Linked DNA regions of Oryzias latipes. The protein of the gene in region 2 purifies or fractionates together with the protein of the main gene of each other region. This does not show direct contact. Links are inferred from orthologs where the notes say so. Each region holds a gene or a part of one and is shown on either strand. Other genes may lie near its edges. The genes, in order: utrn and dystrobrevin beta.

The links.
Region 1: the proteins of dystrobrevin beta (region 2) and utrn purify together in Homo sapiens (affinity purification with mass spectrometry; 3 studies listed by BioGRID and IntAct, with this or other methods). This does not show direct contact. The link is inferred for Oryzias latipes from reciprocal best matches to the Homo sapiens genes DTNB and UTRN.

The regions. Positions count from the first base shown.
Region 1 is NC_019882.2:8,810,652-8,814,470, forward strand, and holds part of utrn (utrophin), read right to left. Parts: intron 3,816-3,819; coding exon 3,753-3,815; intron 3,674-3,752; coding exon 3,530-3,673; intron 3,121-3,529; coding exon 2,983-3,120; intron 2,903-2,982; coding exon 2,810-2,902; intron 2,666-2,809; coding exon 2,495-2,665; intron 2,388-2,494; coding exon 2,215-2,387; intron 1,541-2,214; coding exon 1,390-1,540; intron 681-1,389; coding exon 505-680; intron 1-504.
Region 2 is NC_019880.2:107,390-111,208, forward strand, and holds part of dystrobrevin beta, read right to left. Parts: intron 1,024-3,819; 5' UTR 897-1,023; intron 408-896; 5' UTR 407-407; coding exon 340-406; intron 278-339; coding exon 197-277; intron 134-196; coding exon 1-133.

The DNA.
Region 1 (3,819 bases), on a different chromosome or scaffold from region 2:
ACAAAAACACGTTAAAAACACCAAAAACACAATTTTTATTAGAGTGGGCCTTTACTATTGTTACAAAATTGTAATTGTCTTTCTTTTTTATTTCCTTTATTATTTCCAAATGGGCTATTTATGATGAATTACAAGGGCCACATTCTCAATCGCTTGCATGTTTTCAATCTGATTTCAACCTAAACCAGTTTTAAATATTTCCTTTTTCTGAATTATTTGGGGAATATAAGGAGAAATTTAGGCCAACTTATATATTACATTTAGCTAAAATGCACACAAAAAGTTTTCTTCCAAAGCCATGCAAATCAGTATCATCTGCAAAAAAATACCTTTTGTGTATTTAATTAAATTCACATAATTCAAATAAAATATAAAGTTTTACACCCATCGTTTACCCCTATGCAGCGTTGATTTATTTCTACATAAACAGCTGTTTAATTAACTTTTATCGCAGGACTTTATTGTTCTATTTTATGATTTATGATTTTGTTTTTCCATGCTTACCTGCGCTGCCTGTCTGAGAATTGTTGCTGCACTGCTCTCCACCGCTGACCCAGAGTTTCTAACTTGTCTTCAAGCAGCGATCCATCAGGAGATGAAAGCTTTCCAATTATCTGCTTCCCGGTGCGGTTCAGTCCAGAAAGAACCGCCTGATGGCTGGCAAGGCCTTCCTCCAACTCCTAACATGGAAGGCAGAAAGAATAAATTACACCAAATTAATCATTTTTCCTCTCTAATTCAAATCTCTCCAAGCACATTTCTTATTTACACCTCAACATAATTTGCACGCAGCCGATATTTAGGATTCCAAACTGCTACCTTCCACTTTGAGAGATTTAGTGAGCCAGAACAGATGCGTTAAGGTGAATGATTGTGGAGTCCCACACACCGTGAGTCAGCTAATAGATCCCTCAATTCCCCTCGACTCTGATCCGTCGACTGCTTCTTAGTAGCCGTGAAACCCTGTGCGAGTACTGCGGTTAGGAGAGCATCGCAAATCACACTGATGGAGGAGGTCAGCGATGATGCAGCAGCTTCACCGATTTGAACTTCCCACAGCAATCAAAATGCCACTTTAGCAATCAAACAAAACTAAATTAAAAAGTCCCTTCTGATCTCTCCCCGCACTGCTCATCATTTTTGCGCTCTCTAATCGATCGCTTTATGTGTTGAGTGTTTATGAGGTACAGCACAGGGCCCATTTATTTCTCCCCAGAAAATGACAAGCAATCATGGTCTGGATCTACCCATACCTTAAAGTTTTCACTTTGCAGAGAAATGCTTTCAATAAGTAAGAATTTATCAAGACAAATGTGGAAAAAATCTGCATCCCAATAACCAGTAAAATGCATACATTTAAATCCAAACGCTGCACCAGAAAGTACTGACCGCTTGCTGTTGCCGGGCAGATTTCAGGTCCGGCGGTCCATCGGCGCCCATGCCCTCAGACAGAAGCGTCTCTGCATCCGTCAGCCACTGAGAAAGCTCCTTTAAGTCGCAGTGAAACTGTTCCCACTCCTCTACAGCTCGGTCAAAGCTCCTGCAAAACAACATAGATAACTAACATTTCATCCAGATTAGACTAAAAGTATTAACTGTTAAGTTTAAATTAAAAAAAAAGATAATTTCAGGACTTTATAAAATGAACGGTATATTAATGGTTGTGGCATTTACAATTCTATATTTAAAGGGACATTGATAAAGTTTTGTTTTTGCATTTTATATTTTTATTTGGTTTGAATGCCAGAAAAAAAAAAAAGATTGTACATCTTTATTCATGTTAACCTGCATAAATAGGAGCCCTTTGATGTTTGTTTCAAACAAAATAAACAAATGACATTTATAATATTGTAATATCTAGTGACTTATAAAAGAAAAAAATGGGGAAGAAATGTATGATTAACTTTTCTATGCTTCCATTTCTTTTTATGGTCTGTTTTATCCGTTTTTCCTTTACCATTACCATGAAAGAAATCTTGATTGCACACTAAAAAATATAGAAAGAAATAATTTAAAAATTAATGCAAAAAATGAAAGAAAATAAAAAATATCATTTTCAACATATGTTATTCATTGTGCAGAATATCTAGTATTTGTCAAGTTAATAAAAGTGGAAACTGTTTTTTTTTCCTTTTTCTGTAAAACATCGATCCAAGTTCGAATCTGCACCAAATCTCCCATTATTGCGTCTGCATATGAATTATGTCCAGGTACCCTTTGCGATGATTGTACATGCGGTTGAGTCTATCCCACTCTGCGTCAAGCTGTGCCAGAGCGTCCCCGATCTGTGCGGCTTCAGCATGAGAAGCTTCCTGGATGACGTCGGGGTGCCGCTCGTGGATCCCCGTGACCTTATCGCCCAGATTCTCCAGACTCTCCTGGATAATCTAAAAGACGAGCAAACGAAAGTCACTCGACAAAAGTTCATGCAAATTCTACATTTATGTGACATCTTTAGAATAAGGTGTGTTTTAGCAGCTTGTGTTTGTTGCACCTGGAGTGTGTCCTCCTGGCTGGAAAAGTCTTCATAAAGGCCCCCGCTCAGCTCAGAGGAGTTCAGGAGCAACTCATTGTCCGCCATAGCAAGGAGGACTTTATTGATCTCCAACAGGTAGTCTGAGGGAGTCAGAGACGGCGAGCTGCTGAGCCCTGATGCTGACATCTCCTGCATCAAAACAAGAAGAAAAGTTCTTGACGTCCAAAATACTGTGAAAAGAATCTGCACCTGCAAAACCACCAAAAATATTTGACCAAATCCCTCTCAGAAAGACCCAAACCATCCTAAGTAAATACTTGTTTAGTCCCTCACCTGAGCTGACAGCTCTGATGTTCTCTCCTCAAAGTGAGAAGATGGCGCCTCTAAAGGCCCTTTCATCTCAACGAAACGCCGCATCATCAGCTCCTAAAGCCCAAACACAACTCCGTTTTCTTTAGGCTTGTCCTTAACAGGCATTGTTACTTGAGAAAACAACTGAGTCTCACCCTGTGAGCAGAATATTGGCTCTGCAGCCGGAGCAGCATCACCCGCAGCTCCTCCCTCTCGTCTTCTTCTGAGGTTTGCTGCAGCAGTTCTTCTCCTCTTCTTAGCAGTTCTTCCATGTTGGCTTTCTCTGCATCCATCTGAAGGAAGAGGAAAAAGCCGGGTTTAGTTTTTTCAATAAAGCTATTTGAAGCCCGTCTGTTAAAAACATTAAAAAGGAGAAATCTGTTCAAATCTGCAAATATCCAAATCACTGAGGATATAAATTCACACATTTTAGATAAGAAATGCGGTTTGGGAGGTGCAATGACCTCCCTTTGGGTCACTCAACGTTTTTATGTGTTAAACTATAATTTTTTTATCACATAAACTTTGAATAAACTCTAATCTTTAAACATTTACTATAGGAATAGTCTTATCAGATAGCAGCTTTTACTGTATAAACTTTAGTCAAATCTAATAAAACCACAAAAGAAAAAGGAAACACCCAAGTCAAACATTCTTTGCTTCCGTTTAAAGTCCAGGCAAACATTGGAAGAAAGTAAAAACCTTCTCATCATCCTGCAGGTTTACTGTGTCCTGCTGCTGCAGAGTCTGCAGAGTGTCCTGAAGCTCTGCCCGAAGCTCCTTTATTTCAGTTCGGACCACAGTTTTAGGAAGCTGGGGTCTTTCTGCACGGGTCTCCTGTCCAACCTTGAGAAAAGAAGATAAAAATATATTTGTAAAGGCTTATTAGTCATCTTTTTTTTTTGGCAAGCAAAATAAGACTTACTTGTACCAGAAGAGGTTCCTTTGCAGATATCTGAACACCTTCACTCTCAAGACTGGCCATCATCTGA
Region 2 (3,819 bases):
TTGTTGAGCTGGTAATAGATGGAGGACAGGATGGTCTCCAACCGCGACACGTTGATCTCAGCGTTGTGGTCCAGCGCGTTGAGGCCGTTGTCCCGAAAGGCTTCGATCATGTTCCACACATCCACCAGATGAACTAGGAGAAAAGCGTCACTTCCTGCTCAGAACACGGCGAACGGACCAGAACAGCGGCTCTTACGGTTGCATCTCTTCTGCACGAAACGGAGTTTGCACGCCGTCCTGTAGGTGGAGAGTCGGATCACATCGAAGTTCTGGGCTCCTGAAACAAAGAATCGGTTAAAGAAGAACGACAAACGACGTCCATCTGCAACAACAACGCACTCATTTCCATGAAGAGCTGACGCTTCTCCACCGCCGCCTTAGACCGCCGGCTGCCCTCCTCGATCATCCTGCAACGCAAACAACGCAAGGATGACACGACACAACTGTGACACAACAAAGTACTGCAACACACACACAACACAACTGTGACACAACACCCACAAAGCAACTATGACACAATACAAAAAATGCAAGGATGAGACAACATCTAAACACACCTATGACACAACAAAGTACTACAACACGGACAACGTAATCGTGAGATAACATATACATTTGCAACACACAAGGAACTATGATTGAACAGACACACAACTACACCAACAGAAACCGAACCCTGCAACATAACAGAAACAAATCACTAAAACAACACACAATGAACTGCAAAGATTAGACAAACGAATACACAACTTTAAATACAACAGACAGAAAACTGCTACAGTCACAGAACTCCAACCCGAGTAGAACACAACTACAACAGAACAACACAACTGCATCTTGAAATGTGACTAGCATGAAAAAGCTTTTATTTTGAAGTTCCTCTGGTGTAAACACACCTGCAGGGTTCAGGTTCTTCAGAAGTATTTCCTCCTCACTGATATCCGCCCTGAAGATGGGAACGTCATGTTCTAGAAGTTCCTAGCACCGGTTCCAAAGGTTTCCGTGGGAAGGCCGGTCCAGAACCTGCAGAGGAGAAAACCCAAAGAAACCAGAGAACGATCGATTCCTTTGAGGGAATCTTCATCCTCCACGTGCCGCTGACAAAATGCTGCCAGCAGGTCTCATGTGGGGTAGAACAGGTGAAATGTTGGCCCCAAGCGCCAACGTTTTCAGTCATTTTGTAGCCACAAAAGTATTTGATTAAAGAATTGAGATTATGATGAATTCTGTGTGAAAATCACCAGTTTCCCATAATATTGTAAAGACTATTTCCTCAAAAGAAACATGTCATTCAGAAAATATGTGTTGTTATCTTTTTGTATTAAGGACACGTCAGCAGTAGGTCATGTGACTGATTTGATAAAGGGGGGACCAAAGCAAGAGGGAGGGGGCGCATCCTGTGGAGACGGGGAAAACTTCAGGGAGTCTACGAGAGAAAAGAAAAAAGAGGCGCATCTAACGCATCTGTTTCTGTTTGGACTCGTCTGGACAATCGACTGGTGGGTGAGAGGATTCCTGTCGACGTTTGGATTTGGTTTCTTTGTGGATGATGCCTACGTGTCGGGAGTGGGAGTGACTGTGGACTCTGAGAGGAAGACGCTCCAGCACAGACATTAACGGGACATTTAAAGAAAACGACTGGCTGAGGATTAATATACTATTTGGGTTTTTCTGTTGTTTTGGTTTTCTTGTGTTACATAAAAGACAAAAGAGTCAAATCTGTTGTGTAAATATATCAATTTAAAGAAGAATGAGCACTAAAAGAAATAGATGATCGTTACAATTTGAGTTTTTAACCCAAGCAAATGAAAGAAAATGAGAAGAATTCACTAAAGGCCCACTTTTAATTTCTAAATCCTTCATCACTGAGGCACATTTCCAAAGATCCCAAATAGAGCAGACCATAATACTAAGGCCCCGGGAGAGAAGAAGCAGAGGATGGGGCCCCCCCTGGACCAAATGTCTGACATCTATCGCACACTGTGGCATCATCATCCAGCAGGACGCTCGGGCTAAACCGTCACCGATCACTGATGATGGACAGGGGGGGGGGCACGGCGGCTGGGTCATAGAGGGGGGAGGAGCTCAGGAGAAATGGAGGTGAGGAGCAGATTCCACACAGAAGAAACCTTCAAGGTAACATTTTGACATAGAAAACCATGAAAAAATAGAAAACGTTGAATCTTTGGTGGTTTCCTCTGTAAAAGTTTGCAGTGTGCATTTCCTGCTGTGAGGCCTTTCTCCAAAAGTGTCTAAGATTTGTTGTGGAGTTTGTCGACCTAGAAAGGTTATCTAGAAAGGTTATCTAGAAAGTACAATTCTGGAACACGGAGGGAGTCCATGTGGTCTTACAGAAGCCGTCGCATCGGTCAAACCAGAACAAAATCCTATATGTGGAGAAATGGAAATGTGTGTAAATCCAGGCCCGTTTCTTCAAACAGGCCAACTAGGCAATTGCCTGGGGCCCCAATGGGGGGGGGGGTCCTAGGGCCCCCTAAAGCTGCATGTTCAGCCCCTTGTGAGGAGAAGAAGAATGCCCGTTTTTACCTGTAGCTATTTCCAGCGTTTATTAAATCACTTTTGAGCCAAACATAAAATGCACCAATCAGCTGATGGTTTTTGAACATAGTGATGTAGCTGGCCACGCCCCCAAAGCTGTGTATTGATTGGCAGCTACCAGTTCCGGTAGTGAAGGGATTAAAGGACAAACCCTGTAACGATATGGAGTTACCAGCCATGTGGAAACACGCCACAACAAGAAAAGTGATGAAGACAAATGGACAAAGGATGAGGAAGGTGGTCATGAGGGGGGGAGAATGAAGGTTAGAAGGAGGTAGAATAATAATACTAAACTTTATTTGTATAAGATAGAAATCACAAAGTGCTTCGCAGTAAAACACAGAATATACAAAGAATGAAAAACCAATTTTAAAAAGACGTTTTATCTATTTTTTACAGAAAACACTGAGTCAGCAGATCTGAGGCTGAGAGGAAGGGAGTTCCAGAGGATGGAGCCACTGCTGCAAAGACTGTCACCTTTAGTCTGGAACAGCCAGCAGACCCTGGTCACATGACCTCAGGGACCTGCTGGTCACATGACCTCAGGGACCTGCTGGTCACATGACCTCAGGGACCTGCTGGTCACATGACCTCTGGGACCTGCTGGTCACATGACCTCTGGGACCTGCTGGTCACATGAGCTCAGGGACCTGCTGGTCACATGACCTCTGGGACCTGCTGGTCACATGACCTCTGGGACCTGCTGGTCACATGACCTCAGGGACCTGCTGGTCACATGAGCTCAGGGACCTGCTGGTCACATGACCTCTGGGACCTGCTGGTCACATGACCTCAGGGACCTGCTGGTCACATGACCTCAGGGACCTGCTGGTCACATGACCTCTGGGACCTGCTGGTCACATGACCTCAGGGACCTGCTGGTCACATGAGCTCAGGGACCTGCTGGTCACATGACCTCAGGGACCTGCTGGTCACATGACCTCTGGGACCTGCTGGTCACATGACCTCAGGGACCTGCTGGTCACATGACCTCTGGGACCTGCTGGTCACATGACCTCTGGGACCTGCTGGTCACATGACCTCAGGGACCTGCTGGTCACATGAGCTCAGGGACCTGCTGGTCACATGACCTCTGGGACCTGCTGGTCACATGACCTCTGGGACCTGCTGGTCACATGACCTCTGGGACCTGCTGGTCACATGACCTCAGGGACCTGCTGGTCACATGACCTCTGGGACCTGCTGGTCACATGACCTCAGGGACCTGCTGGTCACATGACCTCAGGGACCTGCTGGTCA